Linked DNA regions of Macaca mulatta. The protein of the gene in region 2 binds, or shares a complex with, the protein of the main gene of each other region. Links are inferred from orthologs where the notes say so. Each region holds a gene or a part of one and is shown on either strand. Other genes may lie near its edges.

What was found.
Region 1: the proteins of CALCRL (region 2) and RAMP3 are in contact, whole or in part, in a cryo-EM structure (PDB 6UVA), measured with the Homo sapiens proteins. The link is inferred for Macaca mulatta from reciprocal best matches to the Homo sapiens genes CALCRL and RAMP3. Residues at the interface, in NP_001258680.1 of Homo sapiens: Arg38, Asn39, Met42, Thr43, Gln45, Tyr46, Glu47, Tyr49, Gln50, Met53, Trp69, Asp70, Ser117, Arg119, Thr120, Phe228, Leu231, Ile235, His238, Thr239, Val243, Val245, Lys249, Gln250, His251, Trp254, Tyr255, Phe257, Leu258, Phe262; in NP_005847.1 of Homo sapiens: Trp56, Cys57, Leu59, Phe62, Ile63, Tyr66, Glu67, Thr70, Cys82, Tyr83, Pro85, Asn86, Pro87, Leu88, Gln90, Ile93, Thr94, His97, Arg98, Cys104, Thr105, Val106, Asp107, Arg108, His110, Leu111, Glu112, Asp113, Pro114, Val118.
Region 3: the proteins of CALCRL (region 2) and ADM2 are in contact, whole or in part, in a cryo-EM structure (PDB 6UVA), measured with the Homo sapiens proteins. The link is inferred for Macaca mulatta from reciprocal best matches to the Homo sapiens genes CALCRL and ADM2. Residues at the interface, in NP_001258680.1 of Homo sapiens: Val36, Thr37, Lys40, Asp70, Gly71, Trp72, Asp90, Tyr91, Phe92, Gln93, Asp94, Phe95, Asp96, Pro97, Ser98, His114, Ala116, Ser117, Thr120, Trp121, Thr122, Tyr124, Thr125, Asn128, Thr131, Lys134, Val135, Ala138, Leu139, Leu141; in NP_001240774.1 of Homo sapiens: Leu106, Arg107, Val108, Gly109, Cys110, Val111, Leu112, Gly113, Thr114, Cys115, Gln116, Val117, Gln118, Asn119, Leu120, Ser121, His122, Arg123, Leu124, Trp125, Gln126, Leu127, Met128, Gly129, Pro130, Ala131, Gly132, Arg133, Gln134, Asp135.

Annotation. Positions count from the first base shown.
Region 1 is NC_133408.1:83,271,294-83,277,562, forward strand, and holds the start of RAMP3 (receptor activity-modifying protein 3 precursor), read right to left. Parts: upstream 3,784-6,269; 5' UTR 3,722-3,783; coding exon 3,664-3,721; intron 1-3,663. UniProt on the Homo sapiens protein: Accessory protein that interacts with and modulates the function of G-protein coupled receptors including calcitonin gene-related peptide type 1 receptor (CALCRL), calcitonin receptor (CALCR) and G-protein coupled estrogen receptor 1 (GPER1).
Region 2 is NC_133417.1:92,406,574-92,412,710, forward strand, and holds the start of CALCRL (calcitonin gene-related peptide type 1 receptor), read right to left. Parts: upstream 4,093-6,137; 5' UTR 3,893-4,092; intron 1-3,892. UniProt on the Homo sapiens protein: G protein-coupled receptor which specificity is determined by its interaction with receptor-activity-modifying proteins (RAMPs). Together with RAMP1, form the receptor complex for calcitonin-gene-related peptides CALCA/CGRP1 and CALCB/CGRP2.
Region 3 is NC_133415.1:974,663-979,827, forward strand, and holds ADM2 (protein ADM2 precursor), read right to left. Parts: upstream 2,787-5,165; 5' UTR 2,755-2,786; intron 2,682-2,754; 5' UTR 2,671-2,681; coding exon 2,561-2,670; intron 1,964-2,560; coding exon 1,627-1,963; 3' UTR 1,484-1,626; downstream 1-1,483. UniProt on the Homo sapiens protein: Intermedin/ADM2 is a peptide hormone that plays a role as physiological regulator of gastrointestinal and cardiovascular bioactivities mediated by the CALCRL-RAMPs receptor complexes.

The DNA of each region.
Region 1 (6,269 bases), on a different chromosome or scaffold from region 2:
TTTGCCGCAGCCAGCCCAAGTGTGGCTGTTCCTACAGCCCACCTCCCTATACAGGGCCTGCATCTGCCGCATTTTCACATTAACCATGATGCTCTGAAACACAGCTCTGGGACAAGGTCCTGGTAAGTATCCATTACCCTCTGGCAACTATTATTCTCCCTGAGCCCCTGATCTCCCCCTCTGAGCCAGGCAAAGATAGCATCAATTCCACACCACCCCCAGTGCCAGGGCATTGCCCAGCCCCTCCCCCAGGACTCTACAAACACGCACCCAGGTGGCATAGCTATCTAAAGAGAAGGAGGGGTCCCTGACAACATGCCCCTCCCTGAATCTCTGCATGCCCCAAATCTCTGCATACCCCAGAACCTCCACATGCCCCATGGCAAGGACCTGGCCTGGGCAGATTGTAAATGTGCCTTTGAGGACCACAGGCCATCCTCAGGCAGGTGTTCTGAGATAACTTCTCTGCCCATGGAGGTGCTATGAGGATGCCTGTGACAGCGCCAGCCCTGGGCCTGCACAAGGCAGGCACCCTGAGAGACCAAGTGTCCTCCCAGGAAGCTCATTTCTAGTGCACATGAGGCTTGAGGGGCTCCCAGCAAAACCTGACAACCCACCCAATGTTAGAACAATGGTGTAAAGACAGATTCCTGGCAACACCACAAAAGAGGGTCATTGCCAATCAAGCTACTGGCTGCATTAGTAAAGGTCACAGGAACTGAATCAAAATAGAAATCCATTTTGGTTGGTTTCATTGGGAGACAAAGAACATGCCGGCCTGTGTTTCTTTTGTCTCAGGGACTTCCAGACGCCGAGAGATGATAAACAGCCAAACAGATGCACTTCCGCGAGAAAGGGCTTTTGTGGCTAGTCATTTGGAAATGAAACGCAGGCGCTCTCCCCATCCTTAACAGAAAGAGCATCGATCAGACTGGCAAGTGGCTGCCATGGGCCATGGTCAGTCGACCTTGGGAGGCTGTGGATTCTGGGTGGTTCTGCCCCTGTTCTCTGTGGTTGGGCAACTTCCTCTCAACCCTCCAGACTTCTGTTTCCTTATGAAGAGTAGGTAAGAGCATGGAGGTCAGATAACCTCCAAGGAACCTCCAGTGCCAAAAATCTATGGGCCTCTTCTTGGCCAATCACCACCATCAAGTCTTCTTTTTTTTTTTTTTTTTTTGACAGAATCTCGCTTTGTCACCAGGCTGGAGTGCAATGGCACAATCTCGGCTCACTGCAATCTCCGCCTCCCAGGTTCAAGTGATTCCCCTGTCTCAGCCTCCCGAGTAGCTGAGACTACAGGCATGCATCACCACACCCAGCTAATTTTTTGTATTTTTAGTAGAGATGGGGTTTCACCATGTTGGCCAGGATGGTCTCAAACTCCTGACCTCGTGATCTGCTCGGCCTCCCAAAGTGCTGAGATTACAGGCGTGAGCCACTGCCCCCGGCCTGCCACCTCCAAGTCTTTAATTCACCAGAGTTACTGCTATCCAACCACGGCCCTTGGGCCCACTTGATTCAGCAGAATCAATGTGACCACAGGTAACATGGTAGCAGGACATCATTTAGTGATAAAAATGGTGGTACCATGTTCACATGCTTGCACACACAGGCACACACACTATGGTGCTCCATCTTTGGGTGCTGTGAGTGAGCCTCATGAGGCCCAGTGCAGTCACTGGTGGGTGCCTTCCTACACCTCCCCTTGTTTAAGCATGAATCCTTCCACCCCACAATCCCATGCCCAACACAAGACGATAAAGACTAAACTGAATGGAATCAAACTGACGGTCTCAGCAGCCCTTTGCAGGTTGCTACTATTACATCTACATTGCAGCTGGGAAACTGAGGCCAGTGAGTGCTTTGTAATCTTGGGATCATGATCGGGATTTTCACCCAGACCAAAAGAGTCCAGTCAAGGGCTGGACTACTGGCTGCATTAGTAAAAGTCGCAGGAACTGAATCAAAATAGAAAACAGCAAAGCATCCTGCTGAGTAGACAACTGCTGAACTTTGCATCCCCACAGCCCTGCACAGCATCAAATGCTTTCTGGAAAAAGGTTTGGAATTCTCAAAGAAGCCCCAGAGGTCAGCACCCTCCCTGCTGGTCCCCCTGAGCCAGTCCTCACTCAAGAGGAACCCACCCAGCTCCTTCCTTCCAGATACAGCAGCATCCAGGGCAGATGTGGGCTCCAGTCCCACCTCTGACACATCAGCCTGGAACCATGAGCAAGTTTTACCTCTCTCTGAATCTCACTCTGGCCAGGCAAACACTGGGAGGGTCTGCTGAGAAGCTGGGCCTGGTCTCCATTCTGGCCAGGGAGCATGAACCCATGTCCCATTGGAGGGGGACAGTCAGGACCAACACAACAAGACAAAGAAGTGACCCTCAGGAACTGGGTCCACGAGAGACAGGATTATTAAGAGGAGGGATTCTGTGCAGGCGGAAGCCTGTGGTCCTTCTCAATTCCATACTGGAGATGGTCAGGAAAGCCTCAGCTTCTCCCAGAATGAATTCAGAGGACCTTCCTTCCATTATAGTGACCAAGATCTCCACCTGAGGGGAGCTCACTGGAAGTTTGCTGAAATCCCAAATCAGCATGCTCCTGATTGCCACGCACCTTTGCACTTCAACACAAAATGAACCACGTCCTAGGCTCCAGCCCTGGAACACCAAATGAAGCCACACATGTTCTGCACACCAAGACCTCTTCAATGGAAGGAAAATGAACACTGAGTTTGGTCCACCCTTTTCCCACCTCCCTTACCAAATCCCAAATCATCAAAACAGGCCCAACGCTGCATCTTACAGTCAGGGAAACTGGGGACCACCAGACCAGGGCCCTCCCTCACCAGTGTCCCCCCAGAACTGGCCAGGCTCAGTCGCCACTTAGTGGACTCCAGCCCTCAGCAAGCACTCTTCCCCAACAGCCCTTACACACATTCTCTCTCTCTCTCTCTCCCCCCCCCACCTCTCTCTCTCACTTTCTCTTGGATAATTTCTTTAGTAAGGTAGTTCAAAATAAGCTTTTAGTTTAATCTGTTTCCATTTTGTGAGCAACGGTTCTCCCCAGAGTCCTGATTTATTGCGGAAGAAGACATTAGGAGAGGATGGCTCAGAGAGTCGCCCCGCTTCCCCTGTCAGCCAGTTCCAAGACACACACAAGCGTCCACACACTGACGGGCCCTGGGAGGACCAGCTACGCAGTCCGGAGTCCACCCGCCCACGCCCCTGTGAGTGGTGGGCAGGCACTCAATGCCAGGACAGGGAGCTCACTACCTCACCGACAACCCATCCTAGGGGGAAGGGGGAAGGAGCCAGACCCGGTCCGCCTCCTCTCTCGCCCACCCTGAGGCGACCCCAGAACTGGGGCGTGGGGGGACATCACAACTAGGAGGAGCGGGGACTGCCGGACCCCGCCGGCAGAAGAGCCCGGAGGGGACCCTGTGCCTCCCTTGCCCGCCAGAGTTCTTTGCCTTCAGCTTCTCCCGGGTGAACCCTCCCGCAGAGCCTGGGGAGCCTGCCAGGGTCGCTGTGCGCCCCTCCCGAGCTCAGGGGGAAAGGAAGGACTGCGGCGCAGGTGCAGGAAGGCGCGGGTCCACGCGGGTCCGATGAACTCCGGGAAGTGGGGGCGCCTCCGGTGCGGGCCGACGCCCCCTTACCGCAGAGCAGCAGCAGCAGCGGGAGAAGTTGCGGGCGCCGCCGCGCTCCAGTCTCCATGGCTGGCCGGCCGCGGCTGGGTCACGCTTGGTCCGGCTGGGGGTGCAACCGGGGACGCCCGGATGGGGTTGGGGTGGGGCGGGGCCTCAGGGAGTCCGCCCCCAGGCCGCACCCCCCAGACCACGCCTCCAGCCGTGCCCGTTACCTCCAGATGTGGGGTGCAGGCCTTGCAGGCGCGCCAGGTGGGAGGGACAGGGGGCGGCTGGAGTCTGGGCTGGAATCTCAGCGGGGGTGAGAGTGGGGTGAGGGCTGGGTTTCGAGCTGGGGACTAGCTGGGGTAAGGTGGGGTGCCGGCTCTGAGGGCGGGACTGGGGTGCTGAGCTGCAAAGGAGCGTTTTGGGAGCAGACTGCAGGGGCAGGCTGGGAGGTGAGCTGGAGTGAGAGTGGGGGCCGGCTAATGGTAGGCTGGGCTGCAGGCTGGAAGGACTTGGGGAACTTCCGTCCAGGCTGGGGGCAGAGTGTGGGGGTAGACCGGGGAGGGAGCTGAGGTGTGGATGAAGCGCGGACTGATGATGGCCTAGAGGAGGCTGCGGGTAGACTGGAGGAAGGTGGACCTGGGGGTGGGCTAGGTGTGCCCTGGCCGAAAGTAGACCAGAGTCCAGAGCTGCCCCCAGGCAGGGAGGGGACCTTTGAGCAGAGACACATCTAGGAGCCAGGTCTCCAAGGGTCAGGAAAGTGCATGAAGGAGGTTGGGGTGGGTGGGTGGGTGTGTGTGTGTGTGTGTGTGTGTGTGTGTGTGTGGTGTTCATGGAATATGTGTGTGATGTGCATGTGGAGTATGTGTAGATGCATGTGTGTGCATGGAGTGTGTGATGTATGGTGTGTGTGTGGCATGTGTGAGTTTGAGTCTGAGACAAGGTGTGTTTGTGAGTGTGTGCTTGGGAAACAGTGTGTATGAGAGAGACTGGAGGATGTGGCAGCTACACACAGAGATATATCACACATCAAGGACCAAGCCACAAGCAAACCGAGGGACAAGAGTATCTGGCGCCCCCAAAGACCTGGCCTCGGAGAGTGTCAGGGTTCCTGAGGGGAAGGAAGGCCTCAGTTTCTCCAGCCACAGGTCACTTAGCCAGATGGGTCGCCTCTGTCATCCTCAGCCCCTAGCACAGGCCCTGGCTCCAGTGGACACTTGATGGTGTCTGCAGAATTGTCACTGGCCAGGACTTCCGAGAGCCAGCTAGAGGCCCCTCTCTGCCCTCCAGGGCCCACCCACCACCCCTGGGGGCGCATGCTGGTCTGAGGTTGGAGCACAGGCCCAGGCTCCCACACGGATGGGCCCTCCACTGCTCTGAGCCGTAGGTACTGCTACCTTCCCAGGAGCTGAGCTGACCTTCTCCTGGCTTAGAAAGACCCACTTTATTTAACAAGACCCTTATTTGGGAGCAGAACTTTCTGTGCTTTTTTACTGAAGAAATTCTGATTGCAGCCAGAATTAATTCAAAGGAGTCAAAACTAATTAAAATTGATCATTTGTCCTGCCTTCTGCCTGAGGGGTGGGCAGCAGGTGCAGGGGTGGCCACAGAGCCTCCAGTGAGACTGCTGGTGCCCACAGGCCGGGGCCACAAAACAAGCCCACCAGGGCAGCAGGGGTCTGGCTCACACACACACATACCCTACACTAGCCACGACAAACCAAGAGGACGGTCCAGGCCCGGGTGTCCACCCACATCCCACACAGACTCGGCCTTATAGCTCTCTCCAGGAGAGTCTTAGTCCCCACTCAGTCCCACAGCCCCAAAGGCAGTTGCACACAGCTTACAGGCTGGAACAGGAGGATGGGGTTGTCAGGTGGGAGTGGGGGCAGCCAGTTCCCCCAAGCCTGCACCAGGGAGCAATGCTCCCTTTCCTGGACTCCCCACTCTGACTCTGCAGTGGGGAAGCCCTGGCCATCCTGCAGAGTTGGTTCCAACACCTCTTCTCCAAGGAACCAACCATGCCCTGACAAACTCCCAGGGAGTTGTGTCTACTGTCCTCTATGTCCCTCTAAGACAGGGCCCTCACTTCTCCTTTCTGCCCAGTGCTGCCCATGGCCTCTGCAGGGCAGGTGGGTTTAACACAGGCTGTGAGGAGCTGAGCATTGGGAGAGGGGGACCTACCCCTTCCACAGTGCATCCCCCCGACCCTGCGAGTGGAAGGGCTGCCACCATAAATGAGACTGACCATGAGGTGTACCCTGGACAACACCTGTCTCCCTGCTTGTCCCTCGGTGGGTGCTGGCCCTGGCACCATTCTCTATGTCTGTGATCCTGTGAGCACTGGGGTCCTCTCAGGAATCGCCTCTTATGGTTCATAATTCTTTATTTTTTTAATTTTGTATTTTTTATTTATTTATTTATTTATTTATTTATTTATTTATTTATTTATTTTTGAGAAGGAGATTCATTCTTATTGCCCAGGCTGGAGTGCAATGGCATGATCTTGGCTCACCGCAACCTCCGCCTCCGGGGCTCAAGAAATTCTCTTGCCTCAGCCCCCTGAATAGCTGGGATTACAGGCTTGTGCCACCACACCAGCTAATTTTTGAATTTTTAGTAGAGACGGGGTT
Region 2 (6,137 bases):
CAGTTTTGTGCAAAAGTTCATGGCATATTAACTTTTTTTTTTTGAGATGGAGTCTCGCTCTGTCTCCCAGGCTGGAGTGCAGTGGCCATATTAACATTTTTTAATTCAAAAAGATATGTTCTGTGTTAAGGGAAATAAGATTTGTCTGAAAATTGGGCTTCATTCAGCAATGTTAATAAAATATAAAACTATAGCCTCAATACCATAGGGGTTATTTATGTATTCATTTTGGCTCATGCTAGATTGAAGTGGGTTGGGATTTTTGTCTTTTTAATTTTTAGTAATGGAAATAGTGTATAACACATTTAATTTGAACCATGAAAAAATTAAAAAATAAAACATTTTAACATTTCAAAAGTAAATACACTAGTTGGGCCATCTTTGCAAACAATAATATTTTGGTGTGTTAGTTTTGAATAATACTGTCTCTTAAGTAAACAGACTAATTGAAGAAAAAAATGGAAGAATTGTGTTTTCGGAAAATATTTGCAACTTATTACCTGATAATAATTCTAGTAACCTAGGAAACAGAGACCCTAACTCAGTTCACAGGCAGTGATACTATTTTATATTTTTGTAAGAAGTAAGACCTGATTGTGTCCTTAAAAATGGAATACATTTCTTCTCTTTTTTGTAATATAGCTTACTACAATTAAATTAATTTGAGTTTAAGATTATTCAAATAAGGAAAAATGCAGAGATTAATTGACTTAATCAAATTCACATGGTCCATGTGAATAAATGGGAAAAGGATAGATCCATCTGGTTAGAATGCAGAGTTTATCTTGTATTTCTGGTAAGTTTTTATTTTCCACCTATTTGCATCATAATATTTTTGTATATTAAATGAGAAGATGTCTTGAAATAATATGTAATCCAGTATGGTACATGTACTTTGTCAGAAAAATAGAACATACCTGAGAAATTGTGAATGTGTATAGTTTACCCATAGATTTGAAAACCAGATACAGATAAATGTTTTAAATAGCTGTGTACCATTTGTCTATCTTAAGCGTATTCTCCAAAATTGTGAGTAAGTCAAAACTAAGATACATTACACACTTGACTCTCATAAGAGTGTCTTTCATTAACACCATTGCAATGATAGAGCTTGTGTTTATGGTTTAATAGCTTCTCTGAATGCCAAGCATAAGATACGCAATAAAGCAAAAGATTTTAAATAACCTTTCTTGAACATATTTGTATTCTGAAAAGTTGGTACTGTAATCATATCTCCAAAACCAGAATTATTTGTTAAAGCTGTATTCAAGGTCATATGTAGAGTATGAAATAAATTTTGTTTACTGAATACATTTTTGATCCTTTAAAGATTATTATTGTTTTCTATAAAGATCTAGAATAATCTTTTAAAATTAAGTTACTATCAAACTTCTGCCATGTAGATAAAATTGGTAACAAAATATTTTTACAATGTTTCCAAATATGATCTAGTTAGAAATATGTAGTGATGCTATTAACTGAAATTCAGTTAGTCTTTATGTGTTTATCAAATAACTTGTCCACATTAATCTGTAAAGCAAATAACATAATCGTTTTACCTTTATATTATTTTCAATATTTTTTTATTAAATTTTATTTCTGTTATGCATGAAAAAATAGTGTAATATGTGCAAGTGAACGTAAATGTTCTTACAAATATGCTAAGTATTGACTTCACTTAAAATTCATACATGTTCGGAGTTACCAGTGAGAAAAGCATATACATCTTGCCCATTCATTTAAAACAATTTTCAAAGTTACAGACCCAGTATTATTTTTAAAAATGTTTTTGTTATTCCAGTTTTTCAAAGTGAATGAACAGTTTCATATATTATAAAAATCTACATATTTTAACTTTTAGTATAATGCTTTGGTATGTAAGATAGAAAAAATCTTGTAACAATAACTGAAAACATTATCTCTTTAAGAAATAGAATATTTCAGGTAAAACATATTTTAGCTCACGTTATTCACATAATGTTTCAATTCTGTGTTTAATTTTACTTATTTAGAATTGACTGAAGGCTCAATGCATTGATTTTATGATGCTACAAGGAAACATCATCTAGCAAAGTAAATTCATTTCTTTATGGCTAAAAGCATGCATTGATACTCTGACATTCTCTTATCATTAAAGAAAGCACATTTTGAACACAATAATCTGAATTTTTATTTCAAACTTCCAGTTATGTCCTCAAAGATTTCCTTTGGCGAATGACCTTCAATGTTCATCGTCTAGTGTTTTTCAAAAGTATTTTTGGAAAACAAAGATTATAACCCATACTGTTAGTAAACTCATAAAAATTTAATCAAATTATATAAGAGAATTATGGGTTTGAGGCTGGCAATTAAACAAAAATTAAGGAAGTTTGGAGAGTTTCTCATTATAAAATATGATTGTAATATAATACCTCCTAAGAAAATAATCTGAATTAAAAATAATGTTGTTTTAATTTTTGTTAGTAAGCCATCGCATTGGGTTAGTAAATGTGTTGTTTCCACTTTCTCCCCCATTTATATAATGGCGAAAGTCACATTCTAAAAACACTCTTCCCATTTCTACACATGTGTCAGGGAACTCAGTACAATTGAAGATTGAAAAGAGAGAGAAATCAGCCATGATACCTTTAAAGAATCACAAATCTAAGAATTAATTTAAATCTTCATTATGTTGAGGAATTTGTGGAAAAATTGAGTTGTAAATTACTGAAGAGTTACTCAGGATGTTTGTAGCCTACTATTAATGTGCCAGATATGAGTGATTAAGTACAGGATGCTTCCAATGCAGGACATCTTGGAAAGTATAATTTCATTTAGGTAAGAAACTGTATAACTTAAAAATTATATCTATCAATGTCATTTAAAATTTGACATCAAACTTTCTCCAGCAACAAATTTGTGCTATATCTATACAAACAATTTGTTAAGCAGACACTAGTTTCTTAAATTGTTCAGGACAGTCTGTACCATCGGAGAGCATTAACAGATGTTTTATCTCAACATTTCAGTAAGTTCCATCCTGGAAATTCTTTTTTAATAAGTACTTTAATTTCTTCATTTAATCATCTAATATACTTGTTTAGGAAAGCTGTCACATTTCTTTATCCACAGATATCTTGGTATCACACCCTCCTCCAAAAGCTTGCAGAGGGGAACCAGTCAAGTTGAAGTATTCTCTTAAAGATTTCAAAATTAAGAATTGTTTTAACAATCTACATTTCCTAAACTCTAGGTCTTTTCTTTGTAGCCGACACCATGATCCACATAAAGAGGAAACAGTTCAGGGTTAGCAGAAAACAGATTTAAACACATCTGGCAACAATGAATAACAAAAATTAGTTCAGTAGTTACAGATATATGTGTAAATAAAGGTGAAAGGCAAATAAAAGCAAATGGAACAAATGCAAAGTGATTACTTTTCAAAACTCTGCATTGTGTTCAACCACAGAGTAAGTGAGACTCCGAGACCCATTAAGTAGCTATTCTTTCACCTCTTTCTTAGAGCTGATAACATGGAAAGTTTAAAGACCCTGGGGGAAAAATGTTTTCCAGCTGTCAAGATTCAAGCTTAGCTAATAGTAGAGCTAATTTTAAAAGGCATTGTTCTCTGATTAAGGTATTTGTTCAGAAATATGTCTTTTAATCCATTTAGATTTTTAATACTTGCTAAATTTATTTTCTAGAATACCATGGTAAACAATATTATCTAGTAGTATTAGATTTTGTATTAACTTTGGGGTAATAGGCTGTATTTTCTCTAGCATGTGAAATAAATGAGAGTATGTTTCAACATTATTTCAATGCTACCTACTAAATTCTATAATAGAAACATTGCCAAACTATATGAGAATACTACTTAGAATAAATATATTTATTTTGAATGTGCACTTACCCAGTCCAGCTCTTAAGGAAATTCTTTGTGAAATATTCTTAGGATGAAACTTTACTTTCTGAGATTCCGCAGAAGAGGCAAGGTGGGAAGGAGTGAAAGCTTTGCAATGTGATCCTGCAATCAGGATGAGATTCAGTTAGCAGAGCTTGATGGTCCTAAAGCAGGAGGTGACACTCTGCTGGAGAGAGAGAGGTTGTTCTGAGTAGATTGTAAGTGTTGTCAGATTGTAAGTGATCAGCAGCAGAAGGGAAACATCAGAGCTTCCTGTTACATCACTCTGACCCCGCCTGCAGTTAGTGTTAGGTTACTTTCTTTCTCAAATAGCATACCCCAGGAAAGCAGCACTCCTTTCTTATTGTGAGACAAGAGCAAGAAGCAGCCTGAACAGGGAGAGATCATAGGCTGTGTGAATGCATTGTTACCAGTAAAAAGCTGGCTGGCTTTCACCTTGACTGAGTTCTGTTAGAACTTGCCAAACAAGCTACTTGTGATTTGAAGGAAATCTGAATATAGTATTCTGCTCAAAGAATCAAAGAGTTAGGCGTGTGTGCGTGTGTGTGTGTGTGTGTGTGTGTGTGTGTTGAATTATAGCTTACAAAGTATCCAGGAAAAAAATATCTAACAAATCTGTGTTCATAGCACAACACAGAAAAAAAATTAACTGCATTCATCATAATTGGTTTTGTGATTTGGCTCTTATTAATTTGGAGCTCTGCTAATTGGGTGCTATTCCTCCATCAGTTCCTAAGTGCAGTTCCTAATCAGTTACTCAGATCAAGAAACTTTATCCTGCAGTTTTTAAATCTTTTATTTTTTCCTTTACCTTCTTCATAACATAAGAACATGAGTGTATGTGTTATAAATTCAACTTGTGTATGTGTGTGTATAGAGTATTTCTTTTATAATATATAATATATCAGTATTATATTTGTCAAAATAGCCTTTGGAATAATTCATAATTTTAAAATTACTGCACACATTTACAAATATTTGGTATAATTATGTTATTTATAATATAAAAATAATTTATACCACAATATTTGTAAATCAATACAATCTTAAAGAAAATGTAGATATGTTATAAACATAATATTATAAAATAATATAAATACAAAGCATACTTTATTTCTTAGACAAAATTTCATCTCAAAGCATAATTTTTCCTGAATATGTTTAATACATCATTGGATATGATCAGGGGAAAATGTTGTAAATTTGAAATGCTTTTGTCATTTTTATAATTTGGTAAATGTATGATATGAAACAATAATTATAACCCCTGTAACCTAAACAGCACTAAAAGTCACTTAATTTATCAGGGCATAAATTTTCTCATCTATAAACTAGAAGAGATAGCTTTTATCTCTAAAGCTTTGAATTGCCAGATTTCATAACATTTAGAAATAGATAAGATATGGTGAGGATCATTCAATTCTTAGTAAATTGTTAGTGTAATTCCAGGATAAAATGAGGTGCCCATACACCTTGTAGGCAAACAAAGGAGGTAAAGGCAAAATAGATTCAGGAATATCATGTTTTTAAAGCAGGGTGCTCACGTTCATATTTTTATTGTCTGAATTAGTGGAAGAAAATGTGTATACGCTCTTTGAGTTTAAGACAAGTAAGATCAATATTGATAAAAAATTACAGACATATAAAAATAAGATATACCTTAATCTCTGTAATTATGGTTAATAGAAAAGACTTGTAAGATCTTGAGTTACACTGGTGAACTGGTTCTGATACTGTCTGGTGTGATCTCGACAAAGCTTTTTAGGCTTGGTGTTCCCATCTTGAAATTCAGCGCAAAACAAATACTAGATTTAATATGAAAGTAATAATGGGTCATGTCTTCTCATCTTCCATGCTAAGTATAATATATGAATCCTATAAAGATATTAATATATAGTTTTTGAATTTAATTAAATCATTGAAAACTAAAACTTTTCCCAATGTGTTTATAAAAGCATTAATATTTTTGTCTTTCCAAAGATTCCTTCCTTCCTTCCTCCCTCTTTCTTTCTTTCTCTCTCTCTTTCTTTCTTTCTTTCTTTCTTTCTTTCTTTCTTTCTTTCTTTCTTTCTTTCTTTCTTTCTTTTTTTCCTTCCTTCCTTCCTTCTTTCTTCTCTTTCTTCTCTTTCTTTCTCGATGGAGTTTTTGCTCTTGTTGCACAGGCTGGAGTGCAATGATGCAATCTCAGCTCACTGCAACCTCCGCTTCCAGGGTTCAAGCAATTCTCCTGCCT
Region 3 (5,165 bases), on a different chromosome or scaffold from region 2:
CCGAGGCCCCTCCACCCTGCAGCCTCTCAGCAGCCAAGCCTCCTGTGCACCTGGGGACTTGGCACTCCCAGCTCCTTCCCCTAGGGAAGGCCTGTTGTCCTCAGACCTCACTGATCCAGTGCTTCTCCCAGGGAGCCGGCCTTGACTGCCTTGCTGTGCGGGCCACCACCCTGACCACCTCTGCTGCAACCCTAGTCCATCTCCCAGTGCATGGAGGCCTCCACAGGGCAGGATCAGCCTGGACTGTTCCCACAGGGCCTCATGGAGCACAGGTCAGTTACCTGGACCCGGCGATCCCTGAGCTCAGGGAGCAAGCACAGAGGCGGCGCCTGGGTGGGCGCTTCCAGGACCCTCCCCTTTGGAAGTAGTCACTGAGGGGCAGGCTGTGGGGGAATGTCCTGAGCTCTGCTGTAGCCTCTAGAGTTGGGGTGATCATGGTGACCCTCATGGGGTGGCTGAGAGGGTGACCCTAGCAAACATTTGCAAATTAAATGCTGAGTGTTTGCTAAGTAGCGGAAGGAACCCTTTCTGAACCCCGCGTTCTGCTGGACGACTGGGAGCCTCGAGTGGCACACGCACATGAGCCCCCATCTCCCCGGGGAAGAACACACACCAAGTCCGTGCACACTGGCAGTGGTTCTTGTTCTTGTCATTTGGGGCTGGGCTGCCCTCCCGGGCTCTTGGCGAGTCACCTGCTGCCCCCACACCTGGTTCCACTGGGCCCCCACACTGGGTGGTGGTGGGGCGCCTGGGTTGCCTGTGGAGCCCCACCCTTGTCTGGCTGCCAACAAGGGTCTCACCCCCTTGAGGTGGGGTGGGTCTATTTGGGCTGGGGGTCTTGCCCCACCCAGCCCTGCCCTGTCCTGGGGTAGGAAGGGGTGTCCCTGTCCCAGAATGGTTTGGGGTGGCTTCTGAACTGCTGAGTTCCCCTCCCCGGCCTCCCACAGGGCATCCAGATGGAGTCCCCATGGCTACCTCAGTCTGGGCTCCAGGGTTGGCAGCTGGAGCCACAGAGGTCCCTTCATGACCTCTGGAGGGCCACCATCCTTCCCTTGCCCAACCCCAGGGGGCTATAGCATCCCACACTCCCTGTCCTGTCCCAAAGGCATGGGGAGGGAGAGGCTGGGACCCCCGGCCAGGCAGGCACGTGGAAGGGCTGGTTGTGCACGACAGCAGGAACAGCCCAGGCACAAGGCCGGGCTTCAGTCTGACTGGACCAGCAGCGGAGGGGCCGCTTCCGGCCAATTCAGCCCCTCTCCCCTGTTCGTCCAGACGTGGCCCTGTGGGTTCAGGGCCCAGCTTCTGCTCCACGTCCCTGGCAGATGCCTCCTTTTTAAAACGCTTTTTAGCATCTGGTGCTGCCACCAGCTGGGTCTGGCAGCCATCCCCCAAGGGTTTACAATTTCAGGGTGTTTAGGCTCCTTGACATACCAGCACTGCATATAGACCAGCCTCGGTCTACAGGTGTGCAAGGGTTTACGTGTGCAACGCCGTGCAGGCATTGTTGCTGCAGGACCTGCTGTCTGCAGCTCCGCGGGACTGGGCTGCGGAGGGGACTCAGCTGCAGCTCTGGACGGGGGCACAGCACCCTGGCTGGGATGGCCAGGGGTGTGGCCCAGCCCCACTTCAGCCATAGCTGTGGGGGCTGCTGGGGTCCACAGGAGCTGAGTCCTGCCGGCCAGCCGGTCCCATGAGTTGCCACAGGCGGTGGCTGAGATTCTGCACCTGACAGGTGCCCAGCACACAGCCCACTCGCAGGAGCTGGGCTTGGGTCCTGCGGGAGCCCGAGTGTCTTCGGGGGCCCGAGTGTTGGCGGCCACCATCCCGGAGAGGCTGACCCATAGCAGGGGCCAGGCCAGCACCCCTCTGTGGCTGGAGGGCCTGGTGAAGCTTCCAAACCACAGGTCGGGGTGCGGGGTGCCTGGGCTGCAGGTTGCTGGAAGGGGTCCGGGCTGGGGGCTCCCTGCAGAGGCAGATGGAGAATGTCAACTGGATGGCTCAGCCTTTCAGAGACCTCACACCTACCCACTTTTGCCTCTACACAGGCCTGGGTCACTGCCAGGGGAAGCCCACGGCCCCCACCCACACAGCCTGGAGCATAGCCAGGGGAAGCCCACGCGTCCCCTCTGGGCTTGGGGCCTGGGACCATCTCAGTGGCCCGGGTCACGTGTCCTGGGAACCGGCACCTCCTTGAGCAAAGGGCACCCCCGCGGCCCAGCCTCTGCGGGTCACCACTCTCAGGGCTCAGGGTGACTCAGCTTCTGCCCTCCCTTTGGTCACAGGTGGGCCTGGGGATACCGCCAGCCGTCCCTCCCCCAGCAGACACCCCCAGAAAAGGGGCTGCTGTGTCCACCTGTGTGGGGAGAAGCAACTGCCCTGTGCAGGGAGGCAGAGGAAGAGGGTCCTCTGGCCCTGCTCAGGCGCTGCTGAGCCTGGGGCAGGGGCCTTGGTTTGGGACGGGAGCCCTAGCAGCAGGTGGCGGTTGGAGGGAGGGCGGCCCCCGGTACTCTGCTTCCCTGTGGGGGCCAGAGGGGCTGGCTGGCCCAAGACCTGGACTCACCTGGGTTTGACGGGACGCGGGTCCCCGCCCAGGCTGCGGGACAGCACGCCAGGGAGCTGCAGGCAGAGGAGGCTGATGCAACCCAGGGCGGCCGTCGGGATCCGGGCCATGGCGGGCGGCGCTGCAGGGGAGGGAGCGGTGAGCCGGGCAGGTCGGGGGCAGCCTGAGCCGCGAGCCACCCCCTCCGCCGGCACCTCGGGGAGCCCTCCGCGGTCGGGGCACCGGGCGTGGGTATGGCAAGCTGGGCACGGGCGTCCGTCGGGGCGCAGGCCTCGGGTGCGAAGCGGGCAGCGGGTCTGGGGTCGGCCGCGGGTCCAGAGCGCAAGGCGGAGCGGGCTGGGCGGGTTGGGGGTCCTGTCTGGAGCAGAGTCGCGGCCGGGATGGCACCTCTGGAGCTGAATACGTAGCCTTTCCAGCAAGGGGCGGAGCCGGGTGCACGGACGGGGCGGGGCGCCCCTGCCCCGGGCTAAGCCACGCTCCGGGGCGGGGAGGGGGCTGTTCCCGCCGGGAGCGCTCGGCGACCGGCCCGGGACCGCGGGGCTGCCAGCCTCACTCCAGGCGCCTTCTAGTGGGGACGCAGCCCCGAGCCTGGGGGGGCCGGACTTCCCCAGGCTGAAGCGGGGTTCTAGGGGGCGAGCCGTAGTCCAAGCTGATCCCACGGCTGGGGCGGACTCTCACCCTGTCAACCACCTCCCGATTGGTGGGTCCTGGCGGTCCCACCCTCCAGGGTCTGATCCGGTGGACCCCGGACCCGGGCCTGACCAGGGAGTCTGCGGGATTCCGCTATCGTCTGACGCGGTGTCCCCAAACCCGGGGCTGCGCTCCTAAAAAGCTCTACCTACCGCCAGCCGCTCCAACCCCAGACCAAAGTATTGCACGGTTTCTGTAACAAATCTAAACAAGTGTCCGGGCGCGGTGGCTCACTCCGGTAATTCCAGCAATTTGGGAAGCCGAGGCGGGCGGATCACCTGAGGCCTGGAGTTTGAGACTAGCCTGGCCAACATGGAGAAACCCGTCTCTACTAAAAATAAAATTAGCTGGTCATGGGCCGGTGGGGCGCGGAGGCTCACGCCTGTAATCCCAGCACTGTGGGAGGCCGAGGCGAGTGGATCACGAGGTCAGGAGATCAAGACCATCCTGGCTAACACGGTGAAACTCCCTCTCTATTAAAAATACAAAACATGTGCCGGGCGTGGTGGCAGGCGCCTGTAGTCCCAGCTACTCGGGAAGCTGAGGCAGGAGAATGGTGTGAACCCGGGAGGCGGAGCCACTGCACTCCAGCCTGGGGGACACAGCTAGACTCCGCCTCCGAACCCCCCCCCCAAAAAAAATTAGCTGGGCTTGGTGGCGGGTCCCTGTAATCTCAGCCACTTGGGAGGCTGAGGCAGGAAAGGCTGAGGCTTGAACCCAGGCGGTGGAGGTTACAGTGAGCTGAGATCGTGCCATTGCACTCCAGCTTGGGCGACAGAGTGAGACTCCGTCTCAAAAATTAAAAAAAAAAAGAAATTTAAACAAGTGAAACGTGAGACTCTCCTCATCATTACCACCCACTGGGTACCCCTACCCCGGTCTGGGTGGGAGCCCTCTCCTGACCCGCCCTGGGCACACCAAGGTGCGGCCGTGTGAGGCACACACATCCATGTGTGCAGACCTGCAATAGGACTGAGACCCCATTCTTTACTGAGAGCTTGTTTGTAGGTCCTGGCAGAGGAGCACAGCTACTGGAAGCCTGATCCTTCATCCTCTTTGACGAAGCACACAGCTTCAGAGGGACACACAGGGAACGGTGGGGAAGGAGGGGACACCTACCTCTGAGCCAACCACATCAGCCGAATCAACCCTGGTGACCAGTGGGGTGACAGGCCTCACAGCCTGACCGTCCTCACATCAGAGACCCCATTCTTTCCTATGGTTGGACCTACTCCAGCATATAGGTGTTGCATGATTCACTTCACCTGCGATTAACGTGAAATTAGGTGACCACCAGTCTTTTTGTGAGTTGCTGCCTCGAGCTCACAGACGTGTCTGTACGACACCTTCCTGGAAGTAGAAATTCTGGTTGAAGGTGAGTGCGTGTTGGTGTTGATAGATGGTTCACTGTTCTCCACAGTTTTCGCCTACCCACCGTCCACGAGTCCTGGACTTGGTGTCATGGGCTCCAAGCTGCTGAGACTGGCCTCTCTCTTGGGTTAGCTGAGGATCTCTGCGTCTGTTTGTGCTTCCCCTTCTGTCTCCCCAACCCCTGCACTCACCCTGTAACCCCCTGCTGTGCCCCCAGCCTGGGAACACAGTCAACATCTGCTGGATGAATAAGTCGAGGAGTGCCGAGCACACACCACACAGGCCGTTCTGGGAGGGCGGGGATACCCTGCAGGTATTATTTACTTATTTTGACCAGTTAAGGGGCAAGGAGTGTCACATTTATAGGTTTTTTTTTTGAGACGGAGTCTCGTTCTGTCGCCCAGGCTGGAGTGCAGTGGCCGGATCTCAGCTCACTGCAAGCTCCACCTCCCGGGTTCACGCCATTCTCCTGCCTCAGCCTCCCGAGTAGCTGGGACTACAGACGCCGCCACCTCGCCCGGCTAGTTTTTTGTATTTTTTTTTA